7 linked regions of the Nothobranchius furzeri genome follow. The protein of the gene in region 1 purifies or fractionates together with the protein of each later gene. This does not show direct contact. Links are inferred from orthologs where the notes say so. Each region holds a gene or a part of one and is shown in the gene's direction. Other genes may lie near its edges.

The links.
Region 2: the proteins of aurka (region 1) and calcoco1a purify together in Homo sapiens (affinity purification with mass spectrometry; 3 studies listed by BioGRID and IntAct, counting the BioPlex papers as one, with this or other methods). This does not show direct contact. The link is inferred for Nothobranchius furzeri from reciprocal best matches to the Homo sapiens genes AURKA and CALCOCO1.
Region 3: the proteins of aurka (region 1) and arfgap1 purify together in Homo sapiens (affinity purification with mass spectrometry; 3 studies listed by BioGRID and IntAct, counting the BioPlex papers as one, with this or other methods). This does not show direct contact. The link is inferred for Nothobranchius furzeri from reciprocal best matches to the Homo sapiens genes AURKA and ARFGAP1.
Region 4: the proteins of aurka (region 1) and ppp6r3 purify together in Homo sapiens (affinity purification with mass spectrometry; 6 studies listed by BioGRID and IntAct, counting the BioPlex papers as one, with this or other methods). This does not show direct contact. The link is inferred for Nothobranchius furzeri from reciprocal best matches to the Homo sapiens genes AURKA and PPP6R3.
Region 5: the proteins of aurka (region 1) and ppp6r2b purify together in Homo sapiens (affinity purification with mass spectrometry; 4 studies listed by BioGRID and IntAct, counting the BioPlex papers as one, with this or other methods). This does not show direct contact. The link is inferred for Nothobranchius furzeri from reciprocal best matches to the Homo sapiens genes AURKA and PPP6R2.
Region 6: the proteins of aurka (region 1) and fbxw7 purify together in Homo sapiens (affinity purification with western blotting; 5 studies listed by BioGRID). This does not show direct contact. The link is inferred for Nothobranchius furzeri from reciprocal best matches to the Homo sapiens genes AURKA and FBXW7.
Region 7: the proteins of aurka (region 1) and mtmr3 purify together in Homo sapiens (affinity purification with mass spectrometry; 3 studies listed by BioGRID and IntAct, counting the BioPlex papers as one, with this or other methods). This does not show direct contact. The link is inferred for Nothobranchius furzeri from reciprocal best matches to the Homo sapiens genes AURKA and MTMR3.

What each region holds. Positions count from the first base shown.
Region 1 is NC_091743.1:61,016,374-61,020,528, forward strand, and holds the start of aurka (aurora kinase A), read left to right. Parts: upstream 1-1,355; 5' UTR 1,356-1,432; intron 1,433-1,479; exon of another isoform or gene 1,480-1,681; intron 1,682-1,930; 5' UTR 1,931-1,933; coding exon 1,934-1,996; intron 1,997-2,692; coding exon 2,693-3,002; intron 3,003-3,084; coding exon 3,085-3,121; intron 3,122-3,212; coding exon 3,213-3,404; intron 3,405-3,513; coding exon 3,514-3,652; intron 3,653-3,755; coding exon 3,756-3,904; intron 3,905-4,056; coding exon 4,057-4,155. UniProt on the Homo sapiens protein: Mitotic serine/threonine kinase that contributes to the regulation of cell cycle progression.
Region 2 is NC_091755.1:25,999,863-26,003,362, forward strand, and holds part of calcoco1a (calcium-binding and coiled-coil domain-containing protein 1), read left to right. Parts: coding exon 1-34; intron 35-355; coding exon 356-447; intron 448-3,105; coding exon 3,106-3,133; 3' UTR 3,134-3,500. UniProt on the Homo sapiens protein: Functions as a coactivator for aryl hydrocarbon and nuclear receptors (NR). Recruited to promoters through its contact with the N-terminal basic helix-loop-helix-Per-Arnt-Sim (PAS) domain of transcription factors or coactivators, such as NCOA2.
Region 3 is NC_091743.1:50,667,414-50,670,913, forward strand, and holds part of arfgap1 (ADP-ribosylation factor GTPase-activating protein 1), read left to right. Parts: intron 1-1,191; coding exon 1,192-1,248; intron 1,249-2,929; coding exon 2,930-2,989; intron 2,990-3,500. UniProt on the Homo sapiens protein: GTPase-activating protein (GAP) for the ADP ribosylation factor 1 (ARF1). Involved in membrane trafficking and /or vesicle transport.
Region 4 is NC_091754.1:42,088,315-42,091,814, forward strand, and holds part of ppp6r3 (serine/threonine-protein phosphatase 6 regulatory subunit 3), read left to right. Parts: coding exon 1-98; intron 99-256; coding exon 257-342; intron 343-740; coding exon 741-827; intron 828-1,878; coding exon 1,879-1,976; intron 1,977-2,404; coding exon 2,405-2,459; intron 2,460-2,566; coding exon 2,567-2,697; intron 2,698-3,500.
Region 5 is NC_091744.1:70,734,890-70,738,389, reverse strand, and holds part of ppp6r2b (serine/threonine-protein phosphatase 6 regulatory subunit 2), read left to right. Parts: intron 1-113; exon of another isoform or gene 114-264; intron 265-379; exon of another isoform or gene 380-519; intron 520-1,655; 5' UTR 1,656-1,683; coding exon 1,684-1,811; intron 1,812-1,922; coding exon 1,923-2,021; intron 2,022-2,302; coding exon 2,303-2,489; intron 2,490-3,500. UniProt on the Homo sapiens protein: Regulatory subunit of protein phosphatase 6 (PP6). May function as a scaffolding PP6 subunit. Involved in the PP6-mediated dephosphorylation of NFKBIE opposing its degradation in response to TNF-alpha.
Region 6 is NC_091747.1:80,809,342-80,812,841, reverse strand, and holds part of fbxw7 (F-box/WD repeat-containing protein 7), read left to right. Parts: intron 1-944; coding exon 945-1,193; intron 1,194-1,281; coding exon 1,282-1,797; intron 1,798-3,500. UniProt on the Homo sapiens protein: Substrate recognition component of a SCF (SKP1-CUL1-F-box protein) E3 ubiquitin-protein ligase complex which mediates the ubiquitination and subsequent proteasomal degradation of target proteins.
Region 7 is NC_091757.1:28,521,842-28,525,945, forward strand, and holds the start of mtmr3 (myotubularin-related protein 3), read left to right. Parts: upstream 1-1,304; 5' UTR 1,305-1,510; intron 1,511-2,821; 5' UTR 2,822-2,896; intron 2,897-4,104. UniProt on the Homo sapiens protein: Lipid phosphatase that specifically dephosphorylates the D-3 position of phosphatidylinositol 3-phosphate and phosphatidylinositol 3,5-bisphosphate, generating phosphatidylinositol and phosphatidylinositol 5-phosphate.

The sequences.
Region 1 (4,155 bases):
GTTTAAATACCTCCGCCATTGTATGTTTGGATTGGCAAGAAGACTTCAGAGGCACCTGGTGGAACTGGAAAGGAGAACAAGTGCCAAAGCAGATGCAGCGTTTTAGCCAGATTGTCGCACACACCTTTGCCAGATGTGCTTTTTATTTTGTAACAACCTCAGAATGTCAACAATGTTTCATCTGGTAGAAAATAGTATGAAGAAAACCAGATTTGTGGAGGGGTTTGCAAATAAACTAAGATGGCAGAAATATTTTTGTCAGCAGATTTCAAATGCAATTTGTGTCAATTATAAATGTAAGAAGTGCGGTTTGATTAGCTAAGGTGAGACCTAAAATATGAGGATTCAAAGTTTAACAGTTATGTCTGTTTATGTTTGAAAAACATCTCAAGTTTTTTCCTGTGGGACCGCATTCATGTAACGCCTCTCTGTAACAAGCAACTTGGTTCTGACTGTACTCTGTTATAACTTAGTTATTTTATTTCAATGGAAGGGATCAATGTTTTTGCCATATTTATATTTAATTAGAAGACCTTCTCAAGTGTTGCGCCATTGTAATGTGGACATTAATGTGTCCAACAGGAACTTGACCAGTTTATCAGCTTCCACACTAGATCCTGTCTGTTTACCTTCATCTTGAGGCCTTTGCAGTGACACATTTTAGTATCAAAGCTCTGCTGCACATGTTGTGGAGGCTGATCTAAATTCTCGAATGGTTACAAAGTGCATTTGAGAGGGTCTTCAAGTGGCTGCACTACTTTTTTATTGTATGCATTTGTAACATTTAATATATTTATTTTGTAAAACTGTTTTAAGAAGTGCAATGTTAGTTTCTTGATTGTAAAATTTTAGGACACATTCTACGTTAAAGGTAGCTTGCATAGATGTCTGTGGAAAGTGCACGAGTGCATGATGTGGCAATAAAATGTCAATTCTATGTGAAAAACAGTGTCCAGTGGTATTGCTTTGTCAAATGTTAGTTCTTATTATCTTTTCAAGATTTTTATTCATCAAATACCATACTGTAAAAAAAGCTTTTCCTCTCCACTTATCAATACAAAATTCGATTATTTAAAAATAAAATGAAAAATGTGTGAAGTGCACACATGTATCAGAAATTTGTAAACAATTGGGAAATTGGTCAAACGTGGACTGCTAAAGGTATAAATTTGATATTTTCAGGAGCACTTTTTCCTGGACTCCATATTCAACCATTCCTCTACTGCCCCCTACCGGTTGGAATGATTCTTTTTACGTCATCCTGTTTCCGTTTTTTTTTCATATCATAACAGCCAATGGAAGGCGAATTTAGAGCATTCATTCAACCAATGAAAGCCGTTTGTTTCTTTAAAGGTTTTGAACAGAGGGACGTTTGAAATTAAACAGGCTGCGATTAAGGAAAGTGTCCTCCGGACAAGCATTTTTCCTCAGAGTACGCACTTTTGCGTGACTAAAATTTGTTAGCTAATTTCAAACCATAGTTTACGACACGGATATTGCTACATTGTTTGATTACTGCTGTTTGCCTTACATGTAATTAGAAGACATCGACATTACCTGTTCAACCGATCGATGTAGCTGCTAGCAAGCCTGGGTAAAGGGTTACCTGCTCGGGGGCTGCTTTCATTTAGGGTCAATCAACTAGTTGCTGCTCATTTGGTTATCGTGCAATACTATTTAGGTGAGTAGTTAAACTAACCTGTCTTTATTACCAGCAGTTGTGTCAGACGACTTGACATACTAGCAGCTATGCTAGGCTAGGCTAACGCGAAGCTGTTCTCTTTATACGTTTGAATGACCGTGCCAGAGTGGATGCTGGGGGTTACTTTTACATTTTGTCACTATTATTTTGAAGAAAGCTGCCACGAGAGTTTTATTTTAGTAGTGGTGGAGTTTAGTCATGTTTGAGTTATACCTGATGTCTTCTCAGACTATGGACTCTTCCACCACGCTGAAGGTTGCAGGGCTCGTGAAACCTCCAAGGCCTGTTGTAAAGGTAAAGCAAGTCTAGTTTAATATAAAACAGTCAGCCAGGTGTTGACACGTAAATCTCATGTTGATCTTGAGGCTCTGGGTTAAACTTAAATTTAGCAACGTAGTGCCTTACACAAGCATATGTGGGCAAATATTAATTAGAAGTAATGTACAAAGAAAAGTCAGTCATTCAATCTTGTATTATTGATGGCAAAATGTTCTGTTATTGTTGGCTTGTGTGTTGATTGGTCTCTAGTGTTATTGGAATATCTCACGAGTCATTGGGTAGTTCACAGCTAAACTTGGGAAATAATCATTGGATTGACTAACTTAACTCTTGATTCAAGATGGCTGCCACAGCTAATCAAGATTAGCAATCACAGAAATGACTAGCTCAGACATTTTTTTACATACATGGTCTTCAATTTTGGTGCGACAGTCTGAGTAATCCCAAATTCCCAATCTTGCACCACTATAACGCTGAACATCTTCGCTTACTTAACTTGCAAAAACGTTTCATGGACCACTGGAGGGAATTTAATGAAACACTTAAAAGTTGTCATTGGATCTACATCCAAACCAGAATGTTGGTAGAGAAGTATGAAATATCTTTTAAAACTACATATTTCTAGACCTACTACTTATTTTTTCATTCATCACTTTGTGTAAAATTGCTGTAAATCTGATTCTAATAGTTAATGACCTCTTGTGATTGCAGTCCAGTGGTGACGGGCCGAGGCGTGTTCCTGTATCGCATAACTCAAAGGCCGTTGTCACACCAACTCAGCCACGAGTCCTCGGTGTGTCCAATGGTCCCCAGCGCGTTCAGCGGCCAGTCAGTCATCAGAAACCAGTGTCTCAGGTCTCTGTTGTTAAGTCAAAACAGCCTGCTGACCAGAATGCAAACCCTGCTACACCATGTTCAAATCCACCACAACCAAAGCCTGTTTCCCAGCAAAACCAGCCGACGACCCATGTACCCAGTGCCAAGCCTCCCTCTGATCCTGCAAAGCAGGCAAAGCCACAGAGTATGCACATTTCTAAAATAAACAAGAATAAGCAAGTGTTTGTTGTAGACACTAAAATATCCTTTTTTTTTTTTTTTTTAAGACAAACCTGCCAAGACTAATCAGGTGGCCCCATCAAAGTACGTCAAGTGCACATTCTACATTCTATTTGTGCAATAATTCAACAGATCAGAATAGGATTTCTAACTCTGTACTGCTGTGTAAATGCAGAACGCGGTGGTGCCTGGAAAACTTCGATATCGGCCGTCCCTTGGGGAAGGGCAAGTTTGGGAACGTCTACTTGGCGAGGGAGCGTCAGACTAAATTCATCTTGGCCCTGAAGGTGCTCTTCAAGAACCAGCTTGAGAAGGCTGGGGTGGAACACCAGCTGAGGAGAGAGGTGGAGATTCAGTCTCATCTCAGGTGATGTGATGTGAAAATTACAATAAAACACCAATCTAAACTTTATCCTCTGTCTTGAGTTCCTTTAAGACAGTTTCACAGAATTCTCTCCTGCATGGGTTTCATACAGGCATCCGAACATCCTTCGTCTCTATGGCTACTTCCATGATGCGACCCGTGTGTATCTCATCCTTGAGTTTGCACCTAAGGGAGAGCTGTACGGCGAGCTGCAGAAGTGTGGAAGTTTCCCAGAAGACAGGAGTGCAACAGTAAGTTAAAAACACTTCAAACTTCAAACACAGTCAACATTCCACAGGTTTATTGAAGGTGTACTCTTAATTCCACTTACTGTTTTTTCTTTTGTGTTATTAGTACATTATGGAGCTGGCAGATGCTCTCCACTATTGCCACATCAAGAATGTGATCCACAGAGACATCAAACCAGAGAATTTGCTCCTGGGAGGCAACGGGGAGCTGAAGATCGCTGACTTTGGCTGGTCTGTTCACACCCCTTCATCCAGGTACGCAGATGTGTTTAATGCAACTTCTTACTGTGTTTTATGGGCTCTGGTCTGCTGATGTTGAGGATCGTTGTCTGGTTTTTCTTTGTGTGACGATCTTTTCTGTCCTTGCATAATAAAGTCCTATTTTAGAAATGTTTTTACCCCTGCAGAAGGTCCACTCTGTGTGGAACACTTGACTACTTGCCCCCAGAAATGATTGAAGGCAAAACCCATGATGAAAAGGTGGACCTTTGGAGCCTGGGGGTCCT
Region 2 (3,500 bases), on another chromosome or scaffold:
GACCGCCGACTCTCAGGCACACAGCTCGGATTCGGTGAGACGCCCTATCAGATCCGTTCATCGTGGCCATAGTTTAATTATATGTGATACTGAAAATGAGCTACGGCTTCATGCTAATAGCAAAGCACACCAGTTAAACACGGGCAGCGGGTCGTTTGATACGGACATTATCTCATGGAGGCAATTAGGTTGCTAGTTGACAAGTTATTAGTCTGTAATAGCCGCTGGAGAGATATGAGTTAAGCATGTGTGTGTGTGTGTGTGTGTGTGTGTGTGTGTGTGTGTGTGTGTGTGTGTGTGTGTGTGTGTGTGTGTGTGTGTGTGTGTGTGTGTGTGTGTGTGTGTGTGTGTGTAGGAGGAGGAATCTGATCCAATTCCGTGTGGAAGGAAAAGCTCTGGAGAGGAAACGGCCCTTCTGCTGGCTGACTACAAGGATAATGTTCTCAGGTACAAACTCCCACATGAAATTTAAGAACCGCTCCAGTTACAGTTGGAACATTTTACTGATGTTTACGTTTATATTATGTGTTCCAAATTAGGCTAAACTGCCCTCGTTATTCTCAACAATAAAAATCGACACGTTGATGCATCAGTCTGATAATAACGAGCTAAGTTGGCGATTGCAGGGTTTATTTCTCTGTTGACCCCTGGGATCCTGAATGCATAAACTCATATTTACGAGCATATTTTCACTGCTGTATTTGTGTTTTTACTGATTTTTTAATGTATTTAAAGCTACAATGGCATATCTGCAAAACAAGATAGCTCAAAACGTTTTTTTAACAACGTTCTAACTAGGGGTAGACCGATGTATCGGGCTGATATTTACTGTTTTTTTATATATTGTATCGGTCGATATCAGTGAAGCCGATTTAAAGTCAGGAGCCTCCTGCCCGGTGCTGTTGCAGATTTTTGTTTAAATGTTTTTTTTTATGTTCACTAATAACATCTGCATAATAAATACTCAAAATTATTTTATTTAGCTGTCTGTAACAGTGAGCAGTGCACAAAGTTAAGATTGAACAGTTGGTTAAATTCAGAGTTCCAAATCTCATTCAGCTTCAGATATTTTGTGCATCAACTGATGTTATTAGTGACATTTTAGCATGAAGATAAGGTGGAAAATGTCTTGGTAATGGCTGTGAAAATCGGCCCTTGAAAACCTGCAGTGCATCCGCTTACCATGCCTCCTACATATCTGCGTCCGCAATAGAAAAACCAATATCTGTCGACCTCTAGTTCTGTAAACATATACAGTACACTGAAGTTTAAAAAAAAAATAGTGAAGCGGTTCTCTCACATTTGTCTAAAGATATCAGCCAATAACACGGCTTGGTTTGGAACCAGCGATTGGACCATCCGGTTGTCTGTCTCACCGAGTCCCAAAAGGAAAAGCAACATTTTGAGTTGTGGAAAGCAAAAGACGTTTGGACCTAGAAAATTGCAACTGCTGTTTGGCTCTCTCTCGTTTCCTGTTGCTGTGCTTTCCTACATCATGGAGGTGTGGCTTAGCCAACAGGAGGTGTGAGGTGTTTGTGTTTAAAGATCAAGTCACCCCAAATAAACATTTTTTGCTGATAAACTACATAAACGAGTGTCTGATCGTGCTGTAGACACGTGTAGCCAATAATTTAGTACTTTAGTGCATCTTAGTTAAACTTTTAATATTTTGCCTAAAACTGTTAGTATTCAGGTAAAAACTATGCACTACATTTTAATTTAACTCTGACATCGCTAGTGGATGTACACTATGGCATTAGCTGATACCATATGATGTCACAATGCCGCTGTGAGCCTGTGTGTGTGCTTGTTTTGTTAGAGGCTCCGGCCTCTCGGTCTGCCAGTCAATGCCTCCTTGTGGCGTATTTTTCAAACAGGAAATGGGAGTGGAGTTAGACCCTGGTGACTTGCCCTTTAAAAGCTAGATTGTTTTGCAGATTTGCCATTGCTACTTTAGTTTTGTGACCTCAAAATAATAAATGTCACAGATGGTTTAGCAAATTAATTACTAGTTTTATAGCATCTTAGGCAGAAATGAGGACTTTCTAACACTCAACAGTCTGATGTTTTGGTGCAGGAAAATATCTAATGATGAAAAACAGATAAGAAAATTAGTTTGGTAACACTTCACAATAAGGGTCCCATTATTAACGCTACTTAGTGCATTATTAAGCATTAATAAACTATTTCATAAAGTATTATAAACTGCTTAATAATAATGTTAAGTGATGCATTACCAATTAGACATTCTGCCTTGCCATGTATCCTAACCTTAAGCACACTTGATAGTAAACAGTAACGTGTTACTAAAGAGACCCTTTGTTTATTAATGTTTAATAATGCACTAAGTAATGTTAATAAAGGGAACCTTATTGTAAAGTGTTGCCAGTTGGTTTTAATCCAAAAGTTGTAGGGATCTTTCCGTCATGATGACTGGTTTTAAACTTCTGCTGTACTTTAAGAGCTCGTGAGTTGATTTGTGTGGATAATAAACTCCTGCAAACCAGCTCACGTCAAAACGCGGTGGAGTAAGAAATATGTTTTCTCCCGGGATTTTAAAAGTGACACTCTAAATGATTCCCAAAGTGGAAGAACGTATTAATTATACGAACTGAAGCACAGTTTGTTACTTTGCCTCTCTGGCCTCACAGAGGAAGCTTCTCACTGAATTCAGAGCCTGCAAATGCTCACGGGCAAAACGCGGGCCGTTATTTACTGTGACAGGCTCGCTGTGGCTGGAAGATGGAAGTTTTGAATATGTGCTCATAAAAGAAGTTGAGTCAGGGTGAAGCGGGGGAGACTGTTGGAGACAGAGTTGGAGGGGTAAGATGGGAGGACGAGGGGACAGACAATTTGACAGCAAGCTGTAGCAATGATTTACCTGAGGGGTGTGCCATAGTCACGGGCCAATTTTCAGCATCGTTAAGGCTCTCATTCTCCCACTCAGCTGCTCCTGCAGTCTTAGCCTCCTTATTCAACCAGTGTGTGTGTGTGTGTGTGTGTGTGTGTGTGTGTGTGTGTGTGTGTGTGTGTGTGTGTGTGTGTGTGTGTGTGTGTGTTCTTTTGAATTTTAACACACACTTTCTGCTTTGTGCCTTCCTCCAGTGATCTGGCTGACACTTCCCTATGGTGACGAGAGGACATCCAGCTACGACAACAAGAGGACTTTGAAGTTTGTTGTGGAACCTCCAAGCACACAAACACAATGTTAATATGCAATAACTTTATATCTGAAGCCAGCCTCATTTTTTCCCTCTCTAGATGGTTTTTGTCTCCACTCTGATGTTTCAGAGCCGTGGAAGGAAAGGATTTAGTTGAATCATTGCTGTGTCGAGAGCTTTACGACGGATGTAATGTCGTTTTTATGGGATTGTGATTAGGAGCCGCGGCAGGCGCTGTAATTATGATGTTTTGTGCAAACTCGTCTTCTTAGGAAATCACAGCAAAATCTGATCAAGCATTACATTTTTGGGGGAAACTTCATGGCAGCATCAACTATT
Region 3 (3,500 bases), about 10 Mb from region 1:
TGTTTGAATTAGAAAAGCAACGCAGATCTACCTCGCACTGAACTGGCTTTCATGGACTGATCCATCTTGTCTCTCGATGGGGAAGACTGGTGTTGGTTTAGTGTCCAGGAAACAGAAAATCTTGGCTAGTAGAAGCTAACTGTTAGCATTAACAACTCCACCACACAGCAGAACTCCTTCAGGCTTGTGTTATTTGTGGAGGTAAAACATCAACGTTGCAAAGTATATGGAATCGGTGGTAGTCGTGTTGCTGTTAGCCAATCAGCGGTGAGAAATATCAGGAAATAATGGTGCGTTCGATTTGTCCTTGGAACTTGGAAATCCCGACTTCCAAGTAGAAAAAATTAAATGAAACGGCCCCAAAGTCGGACCTCCTAGTCGGAAACTGGGAAGAATTTCAGAACTTTGACCTAGACATCCTAAATGGCAGCTCTTCGTATCAACAACAGTTTTAGTTGAAATGTGTTTATTGTACAAGACACATAAGAGTTTGTTTAAAATCAATGGTACACGTAGCGCATGCAAGCTTTTCTCTTCAAATATGTTTTGTAGATTTATGTGTTTATTAGTCGTCTGCGTTCGTTGAGAACTGACAAAACAGCAGTTTTCCAGGATATCGCCATAATGAAATCTCGACCTTTCTGACTACGGCAACCAAAATGCGGTTTATTCGAGTGTGACGTCATTCCCAGTTCGGACTTCAGAGGTAAATCGAATGCACCATAAGACTCAAGTCTGCCATGTTCTGCTTCCTACTCTGAAACATGAGCGCCAGAGCTTTTTTTCCCACAGAGATCGTCTAACAAAGCATTCGTTTATGAGAGACCACTGCAATTGTGTTGAAAAACAAGTGAACTTGGTCTTTAACTCAGAACATTGACAAACTACACTGATTTATATTTGAGTCATTTTCACAACTTTTGGGAACAGTTGTAGAAAAAGGCTCTGATTTTATGTGAACCATAAAACCTGAAAGCCAGAGAATAATGAATGTTGATTCAGCGCTGTCCTTACAAAGTAATCTAATTAAAAGCTCTATCTTTTTGACCATTACACCCTCTAGAGGCTGATTTTCATTGTCTCTGTGAATAGAAATGTTCTTTCTCTTGATGCAGCTGAAGAACATCGTGCTGGAATGTGAACGTTAAAATGTTTTATTGAAGTAAACTCTCCTTTCTGACTCCCAACTAGGCCACAGAGTTAGGACAGACTTTAAATGAGAATGTTATCAAACCTACTCAAGAAAAGGTAACATTGATGTTTGAAGTTGTTGATTTGGTGGTGGGATGCAATGCTTTAGACAAGAAACAGCTTCAGATGTGAATGTGCTATTTTCTGCGTTGTGCTGCTCTTCATCTTTATCTCTGCTGTGCCAGCTTACATTAAAAGACAAAGTCTTCAGTCTTAAATGGGCCAAAAAAATTCTCCTGCCTGTCGGTGACTCAGCTGGTAGATTTGGGGCCAAATCCAGCTGTGAACGGTTTATCGGAGAACATCTGAGTCCATAAGTCATAACACAGTCCCTGGATTTAGCTTTAAATGGTTTTTGTCAGTTTTAAATACATTTTAATAACCGTTTTTAATTTTTACTTCTGAGAAAAAATCTGCTTTTTTATCATTTGAATGAGAGGCTGACCTGTATTTAAAGTAGAAAGTAATTTAGGTGTGGGATTATTTTATACTAAATGCTGTAAAAGGCTGATGTGTTTTAGGGCTTAATTTAGTTTTTCTATTGAACAGAGGAGATGGTTGATCTGAGCAGCTGTTCCACAGATCAACAAACCTCTTTTCCAGATCTGTTTTGGTTTATCCATGCTTTTGGTCCACACTTGTCTCATCTTACAGTTAATTTACTGTGAAACACGAGCTTTACAGTTCAGTGTTATTTACAAAGATACACTGGTGGCATTTAGCAAACATATTTTATTCAGGAATAAATTAACTGATAAGTTTTTCTAAATCAGGTTTAATCTTTAAATAATCTGCACCCTTAAGCCGGTCTTTATTGATCCCAAAAAATGGAAAATAATTTTTAGTTTTTGAGATTGTTTTTGTGAACTCTCTTTATATAAATAAACACAATCGGCAGCTCCTCGTTTGAAAATTGTACACTGATCGGCCGTAACGGTAAGGCCTCTGAGAGCTGAAGTCTGTTCGTTTCTGTGAGGGAAGACAAAGGTTGGTATTAACGCTGAAACATCTCTACAGGTTGATCACACCTCTGACATGGCACCAGCAATCCTCCATTTAAACAGCTACATGTATTTGCCCAACAGGGTGAAATGGGGTGGGTAGCAAACTGATCTATACTCCCAACAGTAGAGATCAGTACTCGGGGTGTTTTACATTCTGTCAGAGCCGGTTTGTCGGCAGCAGCGAGACACGGACACATGTCAGCTGATCTGTGTACATCTTTGCAGATGTTTTGACTTCAAACTTTCTCTACTTGGGTTCTTCTTTGACCTAAATATTACCTTACCATATAAGGTGATGGTAAATATTCTCTGAAATAAATACTTCTGCTTAACACCTTCAGTTTTAACTATCAAGTGAGAAGCTGCTGAGATGTGTTTAAATGGGAAAACAATGATTTTTTTTTAAATTAAACAAATACCGAAAAAGCACCTTAGAAGTGACTTCATGAAATTATGGAAAAAACAAAACAATCTCATTGGGTGCTTAGAAATCCAGAAAGATTAAGGCGAATAGATTTAGTCTTTTAATGTACAGCTGGCGTTGCTAACTAAACAAATGTGTGGTATGTGTGTGTCTACCTGTGTCACTTTTTGTCTTAATTAGTGCCGTTAAAACAAAATCACTTTCCTCATCTGAACAAGATAAATCTTCACAACAGAATATTTGTAGCAAACTTACTGACTATCAGCATTTGTGACTTTGAAAGATTTTAATCCTAATTTGGCTCATCCAGGTCAAAGATGGCAAATTGCTAGATGAAATGGCGGTCAGCATCACAGGGCTGGCAAACAAGGTAGGATGGGCAGATGTCTGCCACGCTGTACGGATGCAAATCCAGCCTCCTGAGTGAGAGGAGTCGGCACAGATTCAATACCATCTCACTTCACCCGGGCTTTAAATCTGCACCCGTGGTGTACCGATGGTTCTGCTCAGAGTTTTATTGGGCTTTCTTTACGGTATTTACTACCCTCTCAGGAGACTGGGTTTGTAGTGCTGATGATAATGAACAATGCTAATTAAATGTGATCTCTTGTGTTTTTGTGCTGCTGTTGATATTTTGGTGGTGAGTACAATGTTGAAGTGTCATGATTACCCTCCATTGAAGCAGAAATCAAAGAGTTTTTTGTCAGAAGGCACCATCTAGAGGTGGAAAATGCACCACACCTTTAAAGGGATACTTTGCAACTTTTTCATATGTTTACATGATTTTCTTGAGCCAGTATGTGCTAATATGAACATTTACAAGGTTAATGAAAGGCCACCCAGTTCCCATCGCCCCCTGTGGCCAAAATATTCCTTGTGCA
Region 4 (3,500 bases), on another chromosome or scaffold:
ACGAGGCTACATGGGTCACCTTACCAGAATAGCCAATTCTGTGGTTCATAACAGTGAGAAAGGTCCCAATGGACCTCAGATACAGCAGCTCATCTCTGGTGAGGACTCACACTTTTCTTGTTGTCTTTAGGTTTAAAACAACCAGCAGAATTCATTTGATTTGTCAAACAGAGCAAACACTGTGAACAGATCAGGATGAAAGTTGTTTGAGTGAAATCTGGGACACCGGGTTTATGGAAGTCCGTTTGTGTCACAGAGTTACCGGCAGCGGACAGAGAGAAATGGGAGGCGTTTATTTCTGGGCAGCTCGCTGACACAAATAAAAGAAACACAGTCGACCTGGTGAGTGACCTTATCGACATGCTGCGTTTAAGTCTAATCCCAACCATTTGTGATATATGTAAGATAACGTTAGAGGAAACACAAGAGCTAATGAAAGGAAACCTGAATTTTCTCTGGAGGAAGCTCCCTCTGTTTGTCATTAACACATTAGCTGGGGTTTCTAGCCACCACGTCAATGAGATAATGTTTAATTCTGCTTGGTAAGACTCGGTGAAACGCCAGTCCAGCAGGAGTAAATAGTTAGCACGGTGCCTGATATAGTTCTTGATGAGAAAACAGAAACTGCCAGAATTTGATTTGGCAGTTTAGTGAATGCCAAAAAGCATTTTGATCCATTAATTAAGTGTTGGATCTTTAAAAAACAGTCGAGTCTGACACTAAAATGGATATTTTCTCAGGTGAACACACAACACATTCATTCTTCCAGTGATGATGAAGTGGACTTTAAAGACAGTGGCTTTCACCAAGACTCCTCACTTCAACAGGTAAGACCCAGACACACTCAGTCCAGACCCACATGTGCAAACGGTGTCCTCATTCCAGTTAAGTTTGTCAGATCATGTAAATGTTTGTAAAACTCTTCTGTAACCGGTTGCAGTAGGGGGACGTATTGAGTACGTAGTTTTAGTAGAAAGATGTTGCCATTAGCGGTAATAAAAGGACCGTTTGTATTTGTGAGCTGCACAGCTTAGCTTAGTGAGTTTCACTGTTGGTCCACTTTGTTTGGGTTAATTTTTCCATTAAATAATGAAGTGTTATTTGCGTGATTTAAGTGCAGCAAATAAAAGTTCCTAGGCGAGTTTCTGCACGGACGCTGTATTGAGTGACGCATGATGGCTGCACACGCCCAGCTGCTACTGGAGCCCGTAGAGACGCTGAACGGAGCGTCGCTTCGCCCCTCCCCCTCTCAACAGTGTGCAGACACACAGCGGCAAAACTGTAAACAAACATGTCTGCTGAACTTTCCCCTGGGAAAGCATCAGCAGTCAAACACAACACTCGTCTGTATGAGCGTGACTCTCATAGCTGCACAAATGACCTGTGAAATAGTTAAAGACATCATGTTAGATCTGTGATGACTCCTGGTTCTGATCACTGCAGGAGCCGCTTCGGATATTAAATATAATAATAATAATATACCCAAAATTATCAAACCGAGCTCTTCAAAACACCAAACCAATGACGATTTTAGCGTACCGTTACACCCCTATGAGTTCAGATGTATAACATCCAAATCCTCTGTGTCCGTTTGCATCACAATAATTATTTTCCACTCGTACTCAATAACTCTCTCTACTGCCAAAGTTTCTCTTGTTTTAAAATGCTTTTACATGCATGACTGCTAGTTTAGAGTTTGTCTTTAACAGCATTCTTGACTCCTCTTATTTTTAAACAGCAGAATATGATTTCAGACGGAGTCCTAATGTATTTGAACAGCCAGACTCTGGGATTGTTATACGTGTTTAGGCTTTTGCTGCAATGAGGAGCTGTGTTTAGAGCCAAGCTTAAAAACTTGTTGGTTTTGGGTTCTGCCAGGCCTTTTCTGATTATCAGATGCAACAAATGACCTCCAATTTTATTGAGCAGTTCGGCTTCAACGACGAAGAGTTTGCAGATCAGGACGATGTTGTGGAGTGAGTACTCATCCTGCATGGCTGCACTTGTCTGAACATTACTGTGCAACTCTGAAGTAACACTTAGTTATATGGGGTTTTATTCATTCATTCATTATATAATCTCTTATTTGATTTGGTAAGTAATAAAATGTCATGTTTTCTGTCTCGCTGGACCCGCCATCACATCTACACAAACAATTTACACATAGCTGAAACGTGTCGCTTCTTGGTGAAAATCAGCATTTTTGAAGCCACATATGGCTCTTTCTAAACAAACATTTTGAGGGAAGGGTCACACCTTCCAAGTTTGCAGGTAATGACAGAGGCACATTTATAACAGCATGTCACCTCATTTTGGTGTGAGTAACTGGATATAATCAGTAGTGTTTTTCTTTCAGTGTTCCTCATGACCCAAGTTAAACTTGTCTTTCTTTTTGACGTTGCAGTATTCCCTTTGATAGAATATCAGACATCAATTTTTCATTGAATACAACTGAAAGTGTAAGTACTCTGATTATTGATCCTAGCAGTCTTCTTAGAGGTGCATATCTGAAACCCCACCTGCAGCCACTAAGGGTGCTTCCTCTGTTTTTTGTTTGTTTTTCCAGACAAATCTAGCTTTGTTTGAGGCTCGCTGTAAGGAGAAAATTCAGCAGTTTGATGATGCCGGTTCAGATGAAGAGGACATTTGGGAAGAAAAAGAAGTCACCTTTGCTCCAGAGTCGCAGCGACGTCCAAGGTCATACACCGAGCGCCAGACCACTTACTCTGCTTGTTTAACCTTTGGTCTATGCATGACATCTTTGTGTCCAAGTTTCATGACAGTTTTTGAAATTACTATAAAACTGCATTATTATTGATTAGGGCTGCACGATATTAGGAAAACCTGCGATATTCGATAACGGTGCTTAATATTGCGATATCGATATTACTCACGATAAATGAACAAATACTAAAGTATGCAGTGTTGATGTCGTCTGGCGTGTGACGTCTGCTCTGGGTTCAAAGCAAACAAAAACTAATGCATGAATTCCATTACAACATAACATTTTTATTGCAAAAATATGCAGCTGCACCTGCTACTGTATTAGCAGCAAAACAACAAACTGCATGCATGCAGGTTCTCAGTGACTTAAAAACATCACCTCCACCATAAAACTTTTTCCTGATGCTCCAAATACAGAAAAACATCCCTTACCAGGATTTTTAGAATAAATAAAAAAAAAATCTGAAAATAAGTTTAAATGTTAAATAATAGTTAACATCACTTAAATGCAACAGCAAATTCTCTCATTGCTACTGAGCATTTTCTCCACTTATGTGGTTATGATATAAGGCTGCTGCTGTAATTGGAAAGTGATCTGTGCTGGGCCAAACTAGGAGAGTATTAAGATTTTCTGAGGGAAAGAGAAAAACAATTGTCTACCTTTCAGAAGAGGAGCTGGCAAAAAAAAAAAACTACATGGAAAATATATGAAAATGTTTGTTTTTAACCCCAAATTGAACAAGTTTACCTAGATCTTAAAAAGCAGCTCAGATGAT
Region 5 (3,500 bases), on another chromosome or scaffold:
TTATCAGTTTTAATAGCAGTTTTTTTGTTTTGTTTTGTTTTTTTGACAGGATGAGCCCTCTATACTAGCACATCTTCACGGTAGACCATCCACCGTTAAGCGGCAGTGTAAATGACATTGCTTCCAGAGAAGAGGTAGTGCCGTTAAGCTAACGAGAGAGTCACGAAAATGCTGCTATGGGCCTCCGGGTGACCTGACAACTAGAGTCACCGAGCTTCCGTTTTTTATTATTTAGCTTGTAGATGATAAAATGATGGATCGGAGGTAAGAGTCACTTGTGTTTGGGGGAAAGCGGTGTCAGGTAAAGCGAAGCCTGTGTAAACCTGCCTTGCTGTCAAGTTGGCAGACGGCTTGTTTTTAGCTGAATGAGAGGAACGCCGTCCCACTATATCTGCTGTAGCTTCAGGCTATGATAGATTACCGACTTGTTTGGGTTGGAAACGTTGCATTTCTCCGCTCCATGTTACCAATGCGAGTCAGCTTATGCTAAAGGGGGATGGTTTGTGATTTGCATGCGAGGTAAGTGTGAAAGGCACCGTCGTTTCGTTTAGCGCAGGAGACAAACGAGGATGTGAGTTAGCTTGAAGTTGTATGGATAAGCTAATGGGCATTAATTAGTTTATAGTGGCATGACCGTTAGCTTGTTGTAGCAGACATATTTAATAGCTAACCGTTAAGTCTCGAAAAAGAGGCCCGTGAAAGATGGTGGGGTTGTTTTATTAGCTACATTTAAAAAACAAAACACGACTTATTGTTTTGCTAACGCTAGTTTACAGAAACACACGTTTGCTCAAGAGATTGTGTACTACTAGGGCAGTGTGCTCCCCCAGTGTGCATCAGGAAAATGAAGTTAATTGATTTGTTTGTATTTCTTTTTAGACAAAAACATAGTTTGTGGTGGTATATGTGGCCACTGTTTTGCCTTAATGTTTTATCAGCCATGCTTCCAGCCTAGTGGCTTATGATGGGCTGGATAAATGCTAGGCAATTATGGATCCCTTAATGTTTCTGTGGTTTAATAAGCTGAGTAAAGCTGTTACATAGAAACATCTCAGATAAGATAATCCCCTGACAACTTCAAGTTTGTACCAACACAGATGTTAACCATGCAACAACGAAGAAGAGCATCTGACACTGCATAAAGTTTCACTCTACAGTAAATTTTTACCCTCTGCAGTACATTTTTACCCTCATTCTTGACCCATGTTGCCATTTTCTGACATCAAATGCCACTCCCACTGTAATGTCAGAGCATAAATGTTCTCCAGTAATTAAATTACTGATACTTTGCTTTCTCCTTTCAGAGAAACGTGTCCACACTGAATCTGACTTTGTGTATTAGTTCTAAAGGAGACAGAAGAGAGCTTCACTGACAAATTATGCTTAATATTTTTGATGTTTTCCTGTCTATCACGAGTAGGATGAAGGCATTCGCTTTAGAGTTTATGCATCTTGCTAGCATGAGTGGTCTGATGTTTAGTAAGATTACCCTGAAGGTACGACATTTATAAAGCCTGTTTGTGTGTATTTGAAATTTGTTTTTGCACACGTTATAACCTGTGACCATCCCCCCCCCCCCCCCCCATAACAAACTCAAGACTGATAGAACTTAGCTATTTTTTTAATCTCCATGTTAAATCCCCATTTGTCTTCAGCTAAGTGTACGTTTTGGTGACGTCCGCCATGTTTTGGAAGTTCGACTTGCACACATCCTCTCATCTGGAGACCTTGCTGGACAAGGAGGATGTCACGCTCTCTGAGCTCCTGGATGAAGAAGATGTTTTGCAGGAGTGCAAGGCCCAAAACAGGAGGTCTTTTTTTTTTTTTTTTACACACAGCAGCACACAAAATGACATCTGCCCTTTCAGTGCCATAAATCTAATAACTTGTGGATCTTTTACCCTCCATCATGGATTTTCTAGACTCATCCAGTTCTTGTGCCAGGACCAGTGCATGCAGGAGCTGGTTCGGCTGACTACGACAGAGCCCCCTGCTGGTGCAGACGAGACTAAGCGCTTCAAGTAGGGATTTATTTGTGCTGAAGTTGTACAGCTAGGGGGAAAATGGGTTTTGCTGGTGCTGCACTATATTACAATGTTTTCATGCAACTGTATAAATGGTTCTAGACCACTGAAAAAACAATTAATGAAATTCCTAACCCAAATAACAGATTCACACATTTATAATGGCCAAAACCTGTGATAATCAACTTAGTCCATACATGGAAACGGCTATACACTCACTTTTATGTGAGCACATGAAGTGTGATTGTGTTCTTTTGTTTCTTTTATTTTTATTTCAGGTTTCCAAATGTTGCATGTGAGCTGCTCACGTGTGATGTGGGGGTGATAAATGATAAACTGGGCAACGATGAGACACTTCTAGAAACTCTTTATGCTTTCCTGGAGCAGCCATCCCCTCTTAACCCGCTCCTGGCATCTTTCTTTAGCAAGACAATTGGGAACCTTATCACACGCAAGACTGAGCAGGTACTGCACACACACTGCAAAATCAAATTACTCATAAAAAGTTATGACTACATTTCAGTGTTGCCAGCTTACCGCTCTGACTCTTACCTCTGAGGCCTTAGCTGCGCCTTTACTCAAAGTCTTGCTCTTGTGTATGATCTAACATTATTTGTGCTCAAAAAGCTCCAAGATTTGTATATTAGTTTGATTGATTATCTGGCAGGTTTAAACAACATATCTAAAGAGCAGCTGGAAAAGTTTAAAAGCTTGTTTCTTATGTGTTGTCTAAAAGGAGCTCAGTGACCTCTAATCTAATTGCTTGACTGACTGTTGCTGTGGAGATTTTCCACGTAATCAGGCTCACATTTTTCAAATGTTAAGAACCAGAACTGAAGCATGTTTTTAATCCACTAATGGGTTTATGTAGGTTAATATGACAGGTGACAATATGTGTGAATTTGGATTGTATTACATTTCTGAGTTTAAGATGTAAAAAGTATAGAAGAGGCTTGGGGCCACTGAAAAGAAAAAAAGAAAAGAAAGAATTCTGACTTTTTCTCAGAATTCTGACTTTTTTTTACTCAGAATTTTGATTTATTTTCCCCCTCAGAGTTCTGACTCTTTTTTTCAGAGTTCTGATATTTTTCTTAGAATTCTGACTGTAATCTCAGAATTCAGATTTTTTTCTCAGAATTCATTTTTTTTTCATAATTATGATCCCCCCCCCCCCCCCCTCAGAATTCTAATTTTTTTCCTCAGAATTCTAACTAATAATCCCATAAAGAGTCAGAATTCTGAGGAAAAGGTCAGAATTCTGTCTTTTCTTTTTATTTGTTTTCAGTGGCCCTAACCCTCTTCCGTAATACAGGCAATTGGGATGTAAATATATTTATATGATAAATGACCCGCACTTGTATAGCGCCTCTCAGAGTAAGGACTTCAAAGTGCTTTACACTACAGTGTATCATTCATCCATTCACACACACATTCACTCACTGGTGGTGATAAGCTACGATGTAGCCACAGCTGCTC
Region 6 (3,500 bases), on another chromosome or scaffold:
ACTTTTGGTAATTTACAGAATCTGATTTGATCTGTCAACTTTCAGGGTTTAGTATGTTGCCTGATGTAAATTACAATTTCTAACTAGAAAATTCCTGAAGAATTTTTAAAAAGGGACCTGCCAGCTGGCACAAGATAACATTCATACACATGTAAAAAAAATGCCTCTTTAGAAGGCCTGCCATCAAATTCATCCATTATTGTGCACATAATTAAATCATAATCATGCAAAGTTAATGCAAATTTAGACACACTCAAAATGAATAAAAGAATATGTTTTTTGCTAATAATTTCACCATCATAAATCAAAATGCTTAGAAAAGTAAAAGCACACCTCCCACTGCTGAGCCGTTTATTTTGATGTATAATTTGTGGGGGTGCACGCTGCCGCTCGAGCCGCGTTAACGTCCGCGGAAGAATAATAACGGATATTAATATCTAAAACTCCCCAGGTGCATAACAATAAGGTCCCTGCTTGCTGCAGCAGCAGGTCCCTTAATTATTAAGAACGTACTTAAATGAGTAAACTTTAAATTTTATTTGATTAAAGATGAAACAGCAGCTTTCTTTTGGATTTTAGATATTTTAGAACTGTGTGGAGCGACAAGTTTGGAGCTGCAGCTCTCATCTTCTTTTACAGTGAAACAATATTTAGCTTTTGTATTTGACGTATTGTTTTTTCTGTAATTTGACAAACTTACAAGAGAGTTGTTTACATTTATCTCTGACGTTGTGGCTCCTGTCCCAAAACACAATCACACCCATCACTGTTGCTTGTCTGCTGCTGAGCAGCACAATCGGTTTCCCACAAGCTAATTCTCCACATCAATAATATTTAATAACTTGGCTGATTTTATGGAAAGTACTCCAGACAGTTTAAGAGAAGATGAGGAATAACAACCAATGCATTAAGCATAGCTTAAGTGTTCTGTTTGTGTTTTGCAGAATGTCAAGACCATCCCCTCCTCAGACAGCCTAGCGAAGGTTCAGGAGGTAGCAAGCTGGCTTTTGGAAATGAACCAGGATCTGCTGTCGGGGGGCAGCAGCAGCAGGCGGAGCCGGGGCCCCGGGGGTCAGGCAGTACGAGGTAACGCCTCCTCTACGGCCCGGGCACCCCAGCAGGCAGCAGAGGAGGGTGAGGAAGATGATCACATCAACCGGGTGGTTGAGGAAAGCGAGCAGCCACAGCAGAGGGTGAGGTTTTTTTTATTTTGTGCATGTTGGAACATAAACTGGGTTTCCCTAAAAGGTCATTGTTATTCTTCTCTGTGGCGTTTTGCAGCCGGATGCGTCACAGGTTGATGATGAAAGGGAGCAGCCATGGGCACCCGCCGAGTCAGGAGCCAGCAACGGCCCTCAAGGAGAAGCAGACGAGGAGGAGAGAAGAGGAGGCCAGCTAAATGAAGTGACCGGGGATTATAAAGGAGTCCGATGGGTGTGGGGAGCAGAGCAGAGAGCGCTCCGAGGCCAGCCGCACCTCGAAGAGGAGGAAGAAGAGGAAGAAGAGGAGGAGAACAACAATAGCAGCAGCCACCAAGAGGAGGAGGAGACAGAGGAGAGGACAGAGGGAGGGGAGGAACAAGGAAGGGAAGAGGAGGAGAGGGATGAGGGTGAGGAGGAAGAGGAGGAGGAGGATGACGAAGAGATGGACCAAGACAGTGATGAGTTTGAGCAGGAGGAGGAGGAGGAGGAGGAGGTGGGAGATGGGCTCCGCTCCCCCACTCTCAGGAACAAAGTGTCTGCCCCCAGGAATAATCAGGACTCGCTCTTCACACACCAAAGTTCTTCCAACAAGAAGGTAAGCAGCTTAATGGATCCTGTTAGCCGTTCTGCACGTCTGTGAGTAGCTTTACAATCACATCTGGCCAGATGTTCCTGTAGTCTCACAAACTTCTGAAAATGTTCTGCACCAGCGCTGCATTGTTGTTTGAAACAACAGCGCCACCCAGTGGCCAGAATGCTCCAGCACTGTAAAACTCAACACTGTTAGTCAGAAACTTGTTTCATGTTTGATTGGGAAACATGATTTTATATCTGAAATCCAAAAATGCACATCCTGTTTAGCACTTGTAAAGAGTAAACTGTTCAAAGTTTCATGTGAAAGAGTGTTTAGAGTAACACACATTTGTGTTCAGCACCATTTCTTACATTTAGATCCGTATAGTTTTTATTCTTTAGTGGATCCTGTGATTCAGACGCTGTTCTCCATTACAATTCTGTTCAATTCAGTCAGGTTTAGTTCCCCTGGGCCTCTTGTGATCTGACACAGCTGACCGACCAGGTGTGTTTATCAGGGCCTTAGTCACTTGTGGGCCATTCCCATCTGTACCGGGTCGGCCCGGGCCGGGTAGCGTAGGTTGTTTACATATCTGGGTAGCCTGGTATTTTTCCGGGCCTACCAAGGCTCATTCTCAGCCCTCTTCTCGAGGGGGTCTGCTTCAGGCCGACCAGGGCCAACACACCCACTGCTGACAGCAAATTCACACCTTCCATTAGAGCAAGCCTCTGATTGGTGGGTAGAATCAGCCCACATGGGCTTAAGACAAGGATGTGTGGAATCAACCGGGCCAGGCTGGGGCCGACTGGGGCTACCCGGCCCGGGCCGACCCGGTACAGATGGGAATGGCCCATTGGAGGAGCCATCTGGCTTTGCACACATTCTGTTGAGCTGTGGTTAAATGTGCATGGTATTATAGAAGGATCTGTTATGAGTTTAAATTAAAAGTTTCATTAATAGTTTATTTATAACTTAGCAGTTTTCACAACAGAGACCTTTTGTGATTGAGCTGGTTGAGCTGTGTAAAAAGAAACTGACTAAGGCCTGATGTGCCACCAGATTAGGTGGCTTATGACTCATCACAGATGGGTTCTGTCATGGATTTGATCAGTAAGTTTATCAATAACCTATTTCCCTGTAGTCGGAGAGAAAAAGGAGACAATGAACAACAAGTCAAACAGTTATAACTGTGGCAAGATGCCCCAAACATCCGGTCTCATAGTTTATTTATATATATATATATATATATATATATATATATATATATATATATATATATAGAGAGAGAGAGAGAGAGAGAGGAGAGAGGAGAGAGAGAGAGAGAGAGAGAGAGAGAGAGAGAGAATGTGTGTGTGGGAAGTAGGGGTGGGCAATATAAACGAAATAAGGTAGAAACGATCTAAAATTGGGTAATGATAGTGTTTTTGGCTAAATTGCAATACCGCGATATCGCAAAAACACATGACGTCACTAAGATGTGCACCCTGCTGACATTGGGGCAACAGAATGGCAGTGACTACAAGCATGGATTGGGCGGAGGAGGTGGCCTATGTACAGTGGGGCAAAAAAGTATTTAGTCAGGCACCGTTGTGCAAGTTCTCCCGCTTAAAATGATGACAGAGGTCAGTAATTTTCATCATAGGTACACTTCAACTGTGAGAGACAGAATGTGAAAAAAAATCCATGAATTCACATGGCAGGATTTTTAAAGAATTTATTTGTAA
Region 7 (4,104 bases), on another chromosome or scaffold:
TTACAATAAACACTTGATGTAGGGAACGACTATGTTATAACCGTTTAGTAAATAATCACGAGGAAGTTGGATGGTTATGAGCATTTCAGCGGTCACGTAGAACAGTGGTTTGATGCAGTTTTGTAATTCATCACAGATGCGTGTAGACTGGAGTTGCCTGGAAGAGGAGGATGGGTATTTTTAATCTGTAAACTTGCTCTCTAAAACACTGTTTAGTTCACTACTGGAGCTACAGATTCTTTACAGCTAGCGTTCTTACCACCATATTTTGTGCATAATATGCTGTATGATTTGAAGTGGCATTTCTTATGTGAAAACTTCATTGTCTTTTATAGTAATAGATACCTGACTGAAAAAGAAATGTATTTACCTTGACCATCATCTTCTCATGTAAAGCTCATTTAATTGTTTTGCATGCAAGTCATTCTGGTCTCATGACAAGGTGATGGACTGTTTTTTGTGTTATTGTTTTTGAACAGGAACATTGATTCAGCACTTAAGGTCTTTTTACAACTGTGAAGTCCATGCATGGTGCAGCTGATAATTATGGCTCTTGCAAAGTCATTGCAGTTCTTTGAAAACCGGAAGTTAACGATGACCTTTTAAAGATGGCTTCCAGTTTACTATTTAAACCCAAATAATTTTGTGCCATATCATATGCCTCATGCATTTTCCTCACAGATATGTTTAGTGGTGAAGTGTGATCATAGAGGTGTGGGACTTTTTGTATCTCAGTTCAGAAAAAGCTAAGCTTTTTTTATATTGTTACAAGAGCTATACACATAAAATGGGTTTAACAATTGACATTGGTCACTAAATTATGATGGAGGTAGTCAGCGGAATTTGAATAGGGCGATTGGGACTGTGACGACATTTACACGCTGGGTGTGGGAGGTTACCTAAAGGAGAAAACGTCTTTTGAAAGTCAGCGGAGAGCAAATAAAGAAGTGACTTGCAGGCTGAAATTACTGTAATGCCTCACGTGTTAGGCTGTCAAATGTTAACGAGTGAACAATGGTATGTCAAGCCTCTGGGAAATAAAATTACCTATGTAAGCCATCAGTCAGACATCACTAAGCTCTTGCTGTGTCGTGTTATTTCTTTATTCTTTAGGCATGCTCACATTTAGATTCACCACAGATGGATGCTAAAATACCAACCCCTTCCTCTCGCTTTAGTGTGTGTACAGCGCCACGGTCTCATTGTTATTTCGGCAAACCGGGGAAAACCCCATCCAGTGTTTACATGATCGGACCGCGTGGTCTGCTCGAGCCCCGCCCCCTCGCGCAGCGTCGCACTGACGACGTTGCGTCACAAGCGCGAATGTTGTTGGGCTGGCGATTTCGCGGCGGCGATGGCGACGAAGACTCGGCGCTGGAAGAGGACGCACTGAGGCTGGCTTCAGCTCGGATATGACTAATTCCCGTTTGTTTGAGAGCAGTTTCCTTTTGAGTTTTTGCATGGGCTTCGGGTGAATCGCGAGCTTCTGACCACTTCGCTCCTTTCACGGGTGAGTCTCACCGGCTGTGGCGAGCCTTCGGTGTGTTTTGACAGAGGCCTCTGTCCCGGGGTCCGCCCTCCATCTCATAACAAAAACAGTTGCAGAGAGCGGCGCTGCTCTGCTGGGCTGTGGTGTGGTGCGGTGCAGCAACTAATGACAAACATCGACTGATAGGAGCCGACTTGCCGTACTTAACAGGGCTACTTTAAATCCTAATAACACTTACATTTAAGCCTTAGCATGCTAATGTTGCTGAAGATTAGCATGCTAACTGTTGACGTTAACGTTAGCTACAGCGAACGCAGCCGAGTTTCCTCTGATAGGATGTTACCACCACTGCTGCTGGCTCTCTCTAGTCTGTAACAGCTAGCTAGCTAGCTAGTTAGATGATGCTGTCTCAGCTGTCTTCACACTTAAACGCAACCATTATTATTATTATTATTATTAGAGCAACAAACTGCCAGTAAAACAGTAAAATTAATCATTAGTGGTGCTGCGCATGCTAACACCATATGTAGAGCCCGGAGCCTGTCACGGACAGGAGTAGCTCTAACAGGCTTAGCCCTCCGCGTGAAGTCAGCCAGACTCCGCTCGTAGGCTTGTAAACAGAGACGTGAGTGGGACAGATAGGCCTTATCAGGCGGCGGCAGAGCCGAGGCCGGGCGTCAGGACCCAGCTCTCGTTGAGTTGGACGGGATTGTGTCTGTTTGTAAGGACTCGTCTCGGACTCATGAAAAGATGTGTTGTTCTCCCGAGCTGCCACATCCACTGACCTCTTTAGCTCAGGTTTCAGTCTCTGCAGGAGCAGATGACCTTTGCAACCATTTGTTGGGCAGCGCGCTGAGATATTCCTAACAGACCATGTAGAGAAAAGACTTTATATACAGTTTACTTTAGAAAGCATTAACATCTCATTCTTGAAAAATACTAATCTAGTGAGTTCAAACACTAAAAGATGTTGGGTTGTGGTAAAAGGAGCCACGGATTCTGGTGGCAGCAGGACTTCACCAGGGCTGCTGGTGTTTTGGATGCACCTCTCCATCACCACCCTGAAGACGAGATATGAAAGTTGTTTGGTTTTCTGTGACGATCTGCTTTCACATCCATCCGTGATATCCAGCAGGCTTCTCTGGGTCTGACTTTGGTGGTGTCTCAGCTCACGCGCACGCCGCTGTGATCACCACTACATTTATTTTTGCCAGGGAATCAAAGGGGCTTCTCTAGCCTGCATCTCTATAAATACGGCTTCTTCTGTTTGCAAGGTATGAGGATGTTTCAAAGTGAAAGGTTTTTCTTCATTATGCATTTTAATTTCCACAGATTTTCATGTCCTGCTTGTGAGATTTTCCCTACTGGATCAACAGGAGTAACACCGTCCACCGCTGATACTCTGCAGTAAGTGTTGTACTGTATCTGGGCCATCTGCAGCCGTCAGTGTCTGTAGCTGTCTCTGTGAGGTGCTTCAGGCTGCCATATTGAATAGATGTTTAAATGTGGTCATGTTTACCTTTACCTGGTCATTCAAGTCAGTTTATTACCTGGAGAGGACGTCTTTGGGCACGTTGGTTCACACCATCGTCCAAATGAAGCAGGATAATCTTTGGATTATTATTTTAGTTTTGTTGTACATAATTAAATTTTCTGACTGGTTTTCAGAGAGTCGCTGAGCTCTTGCAGAGTTTTCTACCACATAATTACTGGTTTTAATTTGCTGCAGCTTAGGGCCTCTGGTGTTTTCTTTCATTTTTTATTCGTTTGTTTTTTCTGTAATCCCGTTTACCTTGAGGTATGATATTTCCAAAAGAAATTCTTTGGAAGTATTTGGGAAATCTATTTGCATCCTCCTCTTATTTAGCTGCTGTTAGTGCAGAGTCATGTGAGGATTAGAATCCTGTTTGTTGCTGCTGAACGAGCCTTGATGCCTGCAGCTGACACAAACACACTGGTGTTCTGTTAGTTCATGTTTCTGCTCCTCACCAGGCCCGCTCCGACCAACCAGCTCTTAGATGTGTAGCGTGAGATCAGCTCCGGATAGGACCAAATCCTTTAGAGTGTCGAAACATTTGCTTGTTTTTATATCAAGTATAGAACAGTACTGGATCCGCCTGAAGGTTTTAGCTAGGGATGCACGGTATCAGGCCGATACCAGTATTGGTGAAAGGTAATCATTAACAGGAACCGATACCAATGCAGTTGCCTGAAAGTGGCTTCACTGTCATTTCTGTTCACCTAATATTTTTGTTTTTGATCATTTCTACTAATATATTTTATTTTCCTATTGAAAGCAGAGAAGAAAATAAAACCTGTATTCCAATTCATTGCATTTTTTTGTGTGGTAGAGGTTTCGGTATCTGTAATTGGTATCAGCGAGTACTCAGATCCAAGTATCGGTATCGTATCGGTTTGGATTATATCGTTGCATCCCTAGTTTTAGCATTTTCAGGTTTTATCTGCATTTTACTTTTCTTCTTGCAGCCAGATGATATTTTTTAAACATCTCAGATGTTTTATTACTGAATTGAACAAAAACAGTTAAAATTTCTCTGGAAATAATTGGAAACAAGAAAGGAACTTTAATTGTGCAAATGTTTTACATCTCTCTG